Linked DNA regions of Mus musculus: all the other regions are reported to be linked to region 3. The links are microRNA targets in miRTarBase. Many come from high-throughput screens and were not tested one by one. Region 3 holds a microRNA gene; each other region holds the end of a gene's coding sequence.
Evidence for each region. The annotated mature microRNA mmu-miR-3097-3p reads CUCAGACCUUUCUACCUGUCAG and lies in region 3 at 2,739-2,760, shown strand. An mRNA with a match to its seed (bases 2 to 7 or 8) in the 3' UTR can be bound and repressed. Matches are read on the target gene's strand: a 7mer-m8 pairs with bases 2 to 8, a 7mer-A1 pairs with bases 2 to 7 and ends in A, and an 8mer does both.

Region 1: the mRNA of Thap12 is a reported target of mmu-miR-3097-3p. Seed matches in the 3' UTR shown: 7mer-A1 at 3,220-3,226.
Region 2: miRTarBase lists Ifnar1 as a target of mmu-miR-3097-3p. Seed matches in the 3' UTR shown: 7mer-A1 at 2,689-2,695 and 7mer-A1 at 1,655-1,661.

The regions. Positions count from the first base shown.
Region 1 is chr7:98,716,314-98,720,514 of GRCm38, reverse strand. Thap12 (THAP domain containing 12) reads right to left here. Exons shown (of 5, transcript NM_028410.2): 5 at 2,453-4,201. The coding sequence ends at 3,612. Gm19656 (a long non-coding RNA gene) reads left to right here. Exons shown (of 3, transcript XR_869811.2): 3 at 1-1,159. Among named protein-coding and RNA genes, the nearest start is that of Gm19656, 8.7 kb to the left of the region's middle.
Region 2 is chr16:91,504,833-91,509,033 of GRCm38, reverse strand. It overlaps Ifnar1 (interferon (alpha and beta) receptor 1), which reads right to left. Exons shown (of 11, transcript NM_010508.2): 11 at 1-3,979. The coding sequence ends at 3,623. Among named protein-coding and RNA genes, the nearest start is that of Mir6367, 21 kb to the left of the region's middle.
Region 3 is chr5:35,018,356-35,022,556 of GRCm38, forward strand. It overlaps Mir3097 (microRNA 3097), which reads left to right and starts at 2,694; the gene lies at 2,694-2,760. Rgs12 (regulator of G-protein signaling 12) reads left to right here. Exons shown (of 17, transcript NM_173402.2): 5 at 988-1,157; 6 at 1,959-2,051; 7 at 2,761-2,904.

The sequences.
Region 1 (4,201 bases), not on the chromosome of region 3:
GCTCTTAAGTATCATAAATATTAACAAACACGACAAGGACAACTTCCCTGTTCCTGAAGAATCACGTGCCCCCCACTCTGAAGAAATGAAAACAAACCAAATCCAGCTAAACTACTGCAGAGGAATGGTCTCCAGGAGGCCTCTTCCAACTCATACTACTACTGACCTCATGGAGCCTACGATGCAACAGAAATGACACGCAAGTTTGGATGACGGATCTACTCCCCTCTGTTTTATAGGGCCACCACCCTGCAGTAAGATTCAGCTGTGTAACTTTCCTCCCAGAAGTGAGAGTAAATGTCAAGAGCAAAAATTCCTGCAATTAAATGTTAATTCCTGAATATATTTCTTATGACATTTTGCAAGCTGTCTAGATACATTTTTTGTTCAAACTCCACGAGGTTTTCATGGATACTTTCTGTTCCCTTTGCTTTAATAAATCTAACCGACTGAAGTTGTGCATTTTGTGTGCATGGGTATTTAAAAGTACAGATGAGGAGGCTGAAGAAATGGCTGGGTGGGTAAGAGAGCTTACTGCTCCTGCAGAAGACCAGGCAGTTCCCAGCACCCACATGTAGCAGCTCACAACCATCTGTTAACTCCAGCTTAAGGGCTTCTAACACCTTCTGGACTCCAGGGGCACCCGTACTCACACATGCACACACACACCCCCACCTCCCATATATACAATTTAAAATAAAAATACATATTTAAAAAATAAAATGTGGTTGTAACTCATAGGCTAAATCTAGGTTGTAAGTTCTTTGGGTAAGTACACTTGGTTACTGCCTATACTTAGTTGAGAAGCTTGGCATATTTGTAACATAATTAGTTATCACAGCTACCATTTTGTAATTACCTAGTTTTAGAAAATAGAAATTCTCATCTGTACAACCACCACAAACTCTTATCAAGGATACATTTGTGAAAATCCCTTTTCTGTTTATTGGAACTGGGTTTCACTATTGTAACCTTGGCTGGTCAGAAAGTATGTAGGCCAGGCTGGCTTCAAACCCCCATGCACCCACCCCCCACCCGGCATGTACGCATTTTTTAAAAATAGTATAGAATAGAGTTTATTTAGGGCAAGGGGAGTTAAGAGGGTAGTAGTGGCAGAGAAAGGCAGAGGGGGAGAGAATAGAGAAATAGAGGCTGGCCATGAACACGTGGAAAGGGGGAGGGAAGGGAGGGAAGAAGGGAAGAGCCCAAGAGAGCAAGAGAGAAACAAGAGCTGTATGCATCTTTTAACTGGGGTTTTGCCAGGGTGCAGCTCTGGCAGAATGCCTGCCTGGCAGGAATGAGACCTTCACACTTTCCAAGAGCCCCAAATCAGAGAATACACAAACATCAAAGATGGCACCTTTAAATGCTTCTGCACACATGGTTGTAGTGGACTGAAAACAGGACCCATTTTGCAACTAGGGCTGTCAGAGACAACTTGCTTGATTGTTCCTTCCATCTAGAGTAGCCAAACAATTTGCTTTGACAGTATGCAGTATAAGTGATACTCTGTGAGTTCCTGAGTCCAGATTTTGAAGGTTCCCTTGCCATCTTGGTACACTAGAACCACAATGATGTAAGGTATAGGACCACAAGGAGAAACCTGGCCATCCCACCCAGACCCAGCAAACCTGCCAACCAAAGGCAGAAAGCCCACATAATGCTTGCAAAGAATCATTTAACCAACCTCAAAACTGTGAAAAGTAAAATTGTTTCTTTAAGCCATTAAGTCTGGGCAGCAGCAGGTCATTGACAACAAATTACCTAATCCCCACAGCACAACCTTAAGGTGGAGGAAACAGCCCTGGGTTGGGTAGTCTGGTAGTCACAACACTTGTAAGAGTCCCAAGAACTAGATACATACAACAGGCCAACTCTGGTCTCTTTCACTGACACCCTGGACTAATCAGCTCTCTGTTAAGGACAGAACTCTAACAACAAAGTAATTCCATCTTTTTATAACCTGCACAGGTAGTGTGTCCTTATTTGATACAAACAGCAGGCTTGACCCAGTGCTGCAATGCATGCATCCAATTCTGCTGTTTGCAGGTCAAATAACATTAACTCACTTCAACACAAAATAGCCCTATGGCAATTATGCGATTCACCCAGCAATATTCTAACCAGCAACAAACAGTAAACACGAGCCCCAACAATCTATAGCAGGGCTATAATGTATACACAGCAAACCAGTTAAAAGAGCAAACTTAAAGCTTGCTTTTAGGCCTTGCACATGTTAGCAAGAGATCCACCCCAGTCCTCATTTAATAACTTCTTGATTTTAATTATTTTTCTACACTTTAAAACACAAACAAAAAATAAAAAAGAAAAGAGAAAAGCTAGAAAATACTTCATCTTGAATCGTAAAAGGCATGAGGCTGATTATGAAATAACCATTTTAAGAAAATATACAAGGATGTATTCTGACCCACCAAAAACACCTCACCTGAAATTTAAACAAAATTCACATTTTATTTAGGTTGAAATAAACTATACAAAATTGATTTTATTCACCAAAAATAACAGCAATATTTTCTGTATTATTTTTAGATAAACCACAAAACATTTATTTCTGTAGGTTTTGCTTATAACCGAGCCAAGGCAGCAGACACAGTCATGTAAGGAGACAACAGACAAGTCAGCTGCCTATAGGGATGGCCTCTGGGTCTTTCTTCTCCATGAAGCACAAGTGAATAGCAAACAAGCCTATGAAAATGTGGGCTCAGCAAAGAAATGCAAACAGCAGCAATCAAGTGAGGAGCAGCAGGGCTGGCTCTGCTACTGTAACTTGTTCCTTTGAGGTTCTTCTGCCCTGACAGGATCTACACAGAAGGCTGCTCGTTACTTCCTGTGACTTTTGCTGTTCTTTTTGCTTTTGAGTACTGAGGCAAGAGCTCCACACTAGGCTCCACCCCAGTCAGCCCTCACTCGTTCTTTGAAGCAGGCTCACTATGTGGTCCAGGCCTAAAGCCTGTCATCCTCATGCCTCTGCCTCCCAAGTGCTGCTACCACAGCTCGGAAACACCTGAAACTCCAAGTCAAAGTCAATGGTGTTTTTCATCATGACACATTATAAAATGTATTTCTCTCACAAAATTCATTTTCCAAAGACCTGATAACTTAATAACTGACAACTGGATCGACAGTGATAATGTCATATCTAAAATGACTTTTTAAGAGATTTATTTATTTTACGTATATGAGTACACTGTTGCTCTCTTCAGACACACCAGAAGAGGGCATCGGATCCCATTACAGATGGTTGTGAGCCACCATGTGGTCACTGGGACTTGAACTCAGGACCTCTGGAAAGGCAGTCAGTGCTCTTAACCGCTGAGCCATTTCTCCAGCCCCTAAAACGACTTTTAAGTAAAACATTTTCAGAGTGCCACCAGCAGAGGTATTTTGGCACTCCTAATGCCAACTTCTGGAAGAACAGACAGGTATTGAAAGCATGAGTGTTCAAACAGGGGCCATTTAAACACGTGGATTACCAATAGCTAATAGTATGTTAAACTGGAGGTCTATCAGCAAGTCATTATCTGGCCTACTATACCTTACAGCTTTTCTTCCAAACAGCAAAATAAGATAACAGCCATTTTTAAAATCTTCTAGGTATTTTCAATGGTTTCTGAATTAATTGTAGGAAGCTCTGACTTATTTGTATAGAGTTTGATGTATGTGTCCACCATTAAATCTAAATCATGTTTTATATCAAAATTTATGTTAAGCAAAGCCAAATTGCTTGACCTCTGGTCTGTCAGAGTGTTCCGCAGGTATGCTTTGAGACGCTTCCGTCCATTTTCATAGCGCTCATTCTCAACTTTCATCACAGGGAGAATACACAGGACCTTCAGCAAAGCATATACATTAGGGAAAAACTTGATGTCAGGAAGATGGAGGGCTTCATAAATGGTGGACGGGAGCTCGATATCTTTCCCTCTGTGTTTCCACTTGATTCTCCAACAGTGAAGCTCGGCAGAGAGCGTGTCAGGGTTGGGTAGGTCACTTCTGTACATGTCAGCATGGTGCTCTTCTGATGTGTTAAATTTGAGCTGCCCCATCACTGAGGGTACCAGAGATAGGCATTTCAGAGCTTTGAGGTGCTGTTCAGAGAAAATATCTTTAAGTTCCTGAATAATGTGCTCTACTGTTGGAACACTGAGAGTGTCTTTATAATAACTCTCAGAGGTTAGCTGAG
Region 2 (4,201 bases), not on the chromosome of region 3:
ACAGAGAAACCCTGTCTCGAAAAAAAAAAAAAAAAAAAAAAAAAAAGAATCGACAAGTGGGACCTCATAAAATTGCAAAGCTTCTGTAAGGCAAAGGACACTGACAAAAGGACAAAACAATACCAACAGATTGGGAAAAGATCTTTACCAATCCTACATCCGATAGAGGGCTAATATCCAATATATACAAAGAACTCAAGAAGTTAGACTCCAGAGAACCAAATAACCCTATTAAAAAATGGGGTAGAGAGCTAAACAAAGAATTTTCAACTGAGGAATATCAAATGGCCAAGAAGCACCTAAAGAAATGTTCAACATCCTTAGTCATTGGTGAATTACAAATCAAAACCACCCTGAGATTCCATTTCACACCAGTCAGAATGGCTAAAATTAAAAACTCTGTTGACAGCAGATGTTGGTGAGGATGTGGAGAAAGAGGAACACTCCTCCATTGCTGGTGGGAATACAAGCTCGTACAACCACTCTGGAAATCAGTTTGGCCGGTCCTCAGAAAATTGGACATAGTATTACCTGAGGACCCAGCTATGCTACTCCTGGGCATATACCCAGAAGATGCTCCAACTGGTAAGAAGGACACATGCTCCACTATGTTCATAGCAGCCTTATTTCTAATAGCCAGAAGCTGGAAAGAACCCAGATGCCCCTCAACAGAGGAATGGATACAGAAAACGTGGTGCATTTCCACAACAGAGTACTGCACAGCTATTAAAAACGATGAATTCATGAAATTCTTAGGCAAATGGATGGATCTGGAGGATATCATCCTGAGTGAGGTAACCCAATCACAAAAGAACACACACAATATGTACTCACTGATAAGTGGATACTAGCCCCAAAGCTCCAAATAACCAGGATACAATTCACAGACCACATGAAGCTCAATAAGAAGGACGAGCAAAGTGTGGGTGCTTCTGTCCTTCTTAGAAGGAGAACAAAATACTCACTGGAGCAAATATGGAGATAAAGTGTAGAGCAGAGACTGAATGAAAGGCCACCCATAGATTGTCCCACCTCGGAATTCATGCCGTACAGCGTTACCAAACCAGACACTGTTGTGGGTGCCAAGAAGTACATGCTGAAAGGAGCCTGATATGGCTGTCTCTTGAGAGGCCCTGCCAGAGCCTTACAAATACAGAGGTGGATGTTAGCAGCCAACCACTGGACTGAGCTCGGGGTCCCTAATAGAGGAGTTAGAGAAGGGACTGAAGGCATTGAAGGGGTTTGCAACCCCAATAGGAAGAATAATATCAACTAACCAGACTCCCCCCAACCCCCCACTGCCCCAGAACTCCCAGGGACTATGCCATCAACCAAGAAGTACACATAGCTCAAGCTGCATATGTTGCAGAGGATGGCTTTGTCATGGATCAATGGAAGGAGAGGTCTTTGGTCCTATGATGGCTTGATAAATAACCCAGTGTAGGGGAATCAAGGGCAGGGAAGTGGGAGTGGGTGGGTGGGTGAACACCCTCATAGAAGCAGGGGAGGGGGGATGGGATAGGGGGCTTCTGGGAGGGGGGTAAATCAGGAAAGGGGATAACATTTGAAATGTAAATAAAGAAAATATCCAATAGTAAAAAAAGAAAAAAAAGGATGTATTTATTATTTTATATATGAATACACTGTAGCTATCTTCAGACACACCAGAAGGGGGCATCAGATCCTATTACAGATGGTTGTGAGCCACCATGTGGTTGCTGGGAATTGAACTCAGGACCTCTGGAAGAGTGGTCAGTGTTCTTAACCACTGAGCCATCTCTCCAGCCCGTGGTGTTTCTTTTTTTCAAAAAGGTTTGACTTCTCTGTGTACAACTGTCTTTGCTTACATGTCTTTGCTTACATGGCCTTGTGCACCCCTGGAGTCTGAGGCAACCAGAAGCACTCTGTGGGTGCTGGGGACAGAGCTCAGATCCCAGACAAGAGCAACCTGTGCTCTACCCGCTGAGCCAGCTCTTCAGGCCTGTGTGCATGGCATTCCTTAAGAACATGTGCCTGCACAGGAAACCCCGGTCACACCAAAAGCAGGCGGTGTGCCGTGAAAAGGGTCATGGAGGCTGTCTTGAAGTGTGCAGGTAGAACTGCTCGCCCAGAAGGCCAGGCTCAGGTGAAGCCCCCTCCTTACCCGCTGCTGCAACCGATAGCTGCTTTGGGCTTCACCCTGAAGACCTGTGTCACAGTTGTTGAGAGATGAAAGAGTGCCAACTAACAACTTCCCGCTAGCATCTGGGCCTTCCTTGGCCACGTCCTCGGAGGTCTTGTTTCTTCACAGGCTGTCCTGGCAGAAGGAGCTTTTCCGCCGTGAACAGGGCTGGGCCGTGCTGGGTAGAATTATTAAAGCGTGGCACCAGATTTGAGTTGTGTGGCCATTTTTCTGGGTATCAGCGTGATTGCAGACCGCGATGACCATGCCCTCTACAGAGGAGCTGGAGTCCTTCAAGTACAGGAACCTGCAACATTTAGCCAAAAGGCTGGGTCTCCGGGCTCCCCTGTGGGCAGACAAGCTGTTCAGAGCCTTGAAAGCACACCCGAACCCAGAAACCGGGCAAGAAAATAAAACTCAGGATGAAAATCAATCTGCATTCTCTCTCTGTTGAGGAGACTGAGATACAAGGTAGTAGTGAGGAGCAAGCTGTCTACCCCAGTCAAAAGCTCTTTTCTATCAAAACTTTCAGACGTAATTTGTGTAGTGTCTCTTGTGTGCTATATCTGAGAATATGTTATCACCTAAAAGTTAAAAAAAACAAAACAAAACAAAAAAACCAAGATTGATTACAAAGGCGCAGTGCAGCGAGCAACAAGCTCGATTGGGGCAGGGCTATGACTCCTCTCTCTTCCTTTTTGGCCTGCAACTGAGTCTGCCCTGGAGCCACCAGCACTGCTGGATGTCCTGCCTACCGAAGATGCTCATGGAGCATTCATCTAAGGTCACTTATAGGCGCCTGCAGGCAGCACTGTGCCGTCGAAGCTGTTCCCTCACCCCAGGACCCAACACTTTGTTTTTTAAGTACCTGGAGCTGGGAAGGGACCTGAATAGTGCCGGACAGAGGACAGGGTTCGGCCTGGTTTTATAAGTACCACGGGAAGGCTACAGAGAGCAGCACAGGGCCTTCACACAAACACTGACTGGACACGGTCTTCTTTCACCATCAGGTTCACTAGCTTCTCTCTTACTGAATGGTTCATGCCTGCTTTTTGTCCCTGGCATTTTCTAGTTCTGCAAGTACTAGAGTACAACGGGCACACCCAGGCCACACTGAGATCTTAAACAACGCCAGCTCCTCCAGTTAGTGTCCCCTTTCTCCATGGTTTCAGTGACTTCTGGTCAGAAGCCACGGCTGTGGTGAGGTATGGGTTAGGAAGCGCGGCTGTAGACAATGGTACCTGTGACACACTGAGGGGCTACGGCAGGATTAAAAATCGGAATGTTCTAAATGTCACCTAGAGGACAAACACCGAGACAGAACCACCAGATGCCTGACATCAGTGAGCCTCATCTGTGGCACAAACAGCACCCAGGGCTTCCAGCTGGCAGCAGAAGCTGGCAGCCACTTCAGATAAGTCTGTCTCCTCCACACGGCCCCCAGCCTGGGCCGAGCACCTGTCAGCAGAGAAGAGCTGGCTCTGTCCTCAGGGCTGGGCTCTGAAGATATTTTTCATTTCCCAGGAAGCAGGTCCCGTCTTCCAAGGTCCCAGGAGGGCTAGGCACGCTGCATGGCCCCCCGCAGGGAGCTTTGGAGAGCACAGCTTGGCCGCTCTCGGTGCCCACACTCTCCTCCTCTTCGTTGGAATAGTTGCCCGAGTCCTGGCTGGTCTGTGAGCTGTACTTCCTGAGGTCCTCCTCAGGCGCGTGCTTTACTTCTACAGCGACCGTGTCTGTATTCTCAATGATGAAGCATCTTTCCGTGTGCTCCTCAGCCGTCAGAAGTACAAGGTTTTTTGAAGGCGGCTCAGAGAAAAACTGATGGTAAAAGGGAAGGAAAACAGGTTGTTTAAAATAAACCCTGCATCTCCAGCTCTAGCTTCTGTTTTATGTCCAGCCTTTCGGAGTGTGCATCACGACATATGAGCTATCCCGGGAATGACTGTGAGGCTCAGAAGGCACAGCAGGCCACCGGGCTCAAGGCCATTTTTGGGTAAACCTGTGAAGAATCCTCACACAGGCACTGTGCTGCCAAGGGTG
Region 3 (4,201 bases):
GCTATTCCGGGTGTGATCTGAAAGTATAAGTGTCTGTGCTGCTTCCAGTCCCCTGTCTTCCTCTCCTCCCCTCCTTGCTAGAAAGGGCACTTCAGTGACTGATCTCAAACTAGAGCCTGCTAACTTGTCCCCAGGAATCTGTCCTGTGACCTGACCAGAGGGCAGAGTATCCTGAGTAGCCTGTCCGGAATGCTCAGAGCAGATGGAGTCCTGTGACTATGTGACGTAGCAGCATTTCCTTAATGATCCCACGTGGAAAATCACCTTCATCAGCTCTGCTGCCTGAGCCCCCTGACGGCATAGCCCCAAAGTGCCACCCCACATTGGGCTGGCCTTGTCTCTGAAGCTACCTGTGCCTCGCTCTCCAGAGCACCATGTGTAACAGTGCTATAGAGTTCTACTTACACTGGCTTGTGGCCCTCCCCTCATCCCTGGGCTGCTTCAAGTGACAAGGGTGATAGATGGGGTCTTCCTAGACACATCTCCTTTTCTTTGTTGTAATATTTTCCTGTATCGGGTCATCAGTGAATGAGCTACCAGATGACACATGGTTAAATACTCAGTTTGGATAGTGTGGCTTAATATCGTCACTGAAAAGTGATCTGCACACAGAAAAGTGCACAGGCAATGAGCCATGGATCCAAATTGCAGCAGACAGCACCAGGAGGGTGATGGGACCAACTGCAGCCCCTCCTCAGACTTCACTCAGGGGCTTTTGCTTTGTGGTGCACTTATAAATGCCTTCCCGCCTTCCGTATGCTCAGCATCATTCTTTCTGCTCTGTGTTGTATGCACACCTTAGGCAATAGCTTCTCTTGTTCAGCCCTGGGAAGTTGAGATGTGTTCTTTTCTGAAGTCTAGAAAGCCTTGGCTAGGTTTCAGGTGCAGTACATGTTGCTCAGTGAACAACATGGGTTGTGGGAAGTAGAGCTGGATATAGGTACCTGTGGCCTCCGAGGTGCAGGTATGTCTGTGATGATCCTGCAGAGTTGACTGGAGCTGACCTTAAGGACTGCATCAGCAACAACAGCCTGAGCAGCAATGCCAGCCTCCCCAGTGTGCAGAGCTGCCGGCGCCTACGAGAGAGGAGAGTTGCAAGCTGGGCAGTGTCATTTGAGCGTCTCCTTCAGGATCCTGTTGGTGTTCGCTACTTCTCTGTGAGTAAGGGGGACTGCTGTGGGGTGGCAGCACTTTGAGCCCGGGTGCTTGAGCTCACGGGGCCATCTCAGACCTCAGAGCCTGGGCATCACCTTGTTAGAGGTGTGGTCGTCCAGCACCTGCTCCAAGCTCAAGGATGGGGTAGGTAGCGTGTACACTTGTAGGGGCTGGCAGTTCTGTTTTCCCTTCCTGGCCTGCCTCCTGCCCTGGAGTTCCCTGCCGGCACACTTCCCTCTCACTCTCTCGATGTCTGTGCAGCAAGGAACATCAGAGTGTCTTGGCTCTGTGTGTTTGTTTTTTTTGTTTGTTTTGAGACTGGATTTCACTATGTTAGTCAGTCTGGTTTGGAACTCATAATCCCCCTGCCTTATCCTTCTGAGTACTAGGATTACAGTTGTATGACATCATCCTAGCTGGAGCTTCTTCAAAATTCTTGGAAATGCATGCTGACAAATACAGCTCTTAAGGATCCAGAAGTAGGGATGGAGCTGTGAAAGAGTGATTACGAGCAGCACGTGATAATAGTGTCAGTGATATGATGTCATATTTTATATGCTAACCAGAGACTAAAAATATATTTCTTTAAAAAAAAAAAAAAAGATGACCAGCCCTTGAGAAAAGAGCTGTGAGGCAGATGGCCCGCCCACTCACGTGTGCTGCGCAGCCCCTATGCCTGCTTTCAAGGCCCCTGCGAGGCTCCTTTCCTGCCATGGTGTAGACAAAGAGGGCCGGGGATATGGGGCTCAGCTTCATAGAGGGGTTGTGGAGTGACAACTGCTCTCCTTCCTGTGTTCCCTCAGGATTTTCTACGTAAGGAATTCAGTGAAGAGAACATTTTATTCTGGCAGGCCTGTGAGTGCTTCAGTCATGTTCCTGCACATGACAAAAAAGAGGTAAACTGCTCTTCAGAGCAGGGGCTGTGTGAGGACCGAGGTTACATCAAGGGTTGCTTGAGCAGTCGATGAGGGATGCTTCTTACTGACTTTAAAGAACGGTGACATTTCTGCTTCAGCATAAAAACTTAAGTGTGTGACATTTAATTCTGCCTAAACATAGTCTGCATAAATGCCTCGCCACAGAGCCTGGCAGTGGTGGCACTTGACGTTGGGTTGGGTAAGAAGGAACAGTGTTTGAAGAGACTTGGAGAAGCACTCTGGCAAACTGCAGCCTCTACCTGTGGCTTAACAGCACCTGTCTAGCTGCCCCAGGACTGCCCAGGCCATGTCCTGTGGCCTTTCCCCCAAAGTAACAGCTGTCCTCACAGAGTGGCCTCATGCCTGTGTCTTGTGCTCTGAGCATTGTGCACTTTTGCCCTCCCCTGTCGTGCACACTTTGCTGGCAGATCCTCCTCTGAGGCCCTTACAAAGCAGCCATTTAGAAATTTGCAGCCATTTAGAAATTTGTAGAGGAGCCGATTCAGGAGTTTCCTCCTGGCTCTTTCTTTTATATTTACTTTCATAAGCCAGACTATAGACAGGGCCTGTGACTCAGCTCTCCAGCCCCGAAGCAGAGTCAGCCTTAGGAATGTTTGAGTGACACAGGTGGGAAGTGTGTGTCCAGTGGGTGTGTCTACAGATCTGCTCAGACCTTTCTACCTGTCAGCTCTCTTACAGGGCCCGGGAGATTTTCAGTAAATTCCTGTGCAGCAAAGCCACCACTCCTGTCAACATTGACAGCCAGGCCCAGCTGGCAGATGACATTCTCAATGCACCCCACCCTGACATGTTCAAGGAACAACAGCTCCAGGTGACTTTGCAGACAGTCTTCCATGGGGCTTCCAGCCAAGGCTTGGGGGTGCAGAGTCACTCAGAGTAGCACGTGCCCTTCTGGGAAGGGGGCTGCTGGTCATGTGGGCATGGTGACAAGCCCATCTGACCACTGGGCTCCAGTCTCAAAAGGATTCAGTAGATCTGAGGAACAATAAAGCCTTTGCCACAGATAGCCCCATGTACCCACTGTCAACCGAAGTAAGGGACAATATTACTTTTCAAAAGTCTATGGGGCTGGTGAGACTGCTCAGCAGATAAAGGCTCTTGCCGCCAAACCTGACAACCTGAGTTTGATCATTGGGACCCACATAGTGAAAGGAGAGAATCAACTTCTATAAGTTGTACTCTTTAGACACGGACCATGGTGGGTGTACAACACACACACACACACTCTCTCTCTCTCTCTCTCTCTCTCACTAAATAAGTAAATGAATAAATAAGTATAAAAAAATTGTATGCACATTGGACACACTTGACCTACAGAACATGACAGCTACAGCGTGGCCACAACAGCACATTATGGAAGGTCAGTGGTCTTTGATGATTGCAGGGCTGACTCTGAGCAAGTTCGGTGTCACTTCCAGCATTTGAGAGCGGATGATAACTGCATTATCCCAGCCCAGAGAAAGCTTTCTATGAGCACACGTCGCTGCCACACTAGTGTACATCCAGAATGCTGTGGACCTGTCTGTATACTTACATGTTTACGTGCTTAGTAGCAGTAGCAGCAATTGTCATTTGAGACAGGATCTCACTGTGTAATTTCACCACCATTGACATGAAGCTCACATACTCGTGCCTCAGCCTCTGCCGGATCACAGGATGCACATGGAACCCTGTTTACATGTTTGTGTCTTAATTCTGGAAGAGCATGTGATCTGACCCGTCCAGAACACACTTCCCAGCCCTGCCAGCTGCTGTGCCGCTAGGTTGCAGGAATTAGCTTAAAACAGAGCAGAGCTTCCCCAGGCCTCACTTACCCTTGAGACAACTGCCTTCCAAGTTCCTAGGAAGTGAAGGCCTGCTAAGGGTGCAGCCACAGTCTTGAGTCTGCCTGCCCTTCTGGCTGTGCCTATGCCTATGACTCTGCTCTTACTAAGAGTGACAAAGGAGAGGCTGTTGACAGGGATCAGAAGGGTCCCTGGAGAGTTAATTAACATCTGAGTGCCCTGGGGCCCAAGGGAGGGTTGGCAGGAATGACACCCTTCCAAAATGTCACTCATTCATGGGTACAGACCTCCTATACCGCCTAGGACCTAAGGAGTTACCGTTCT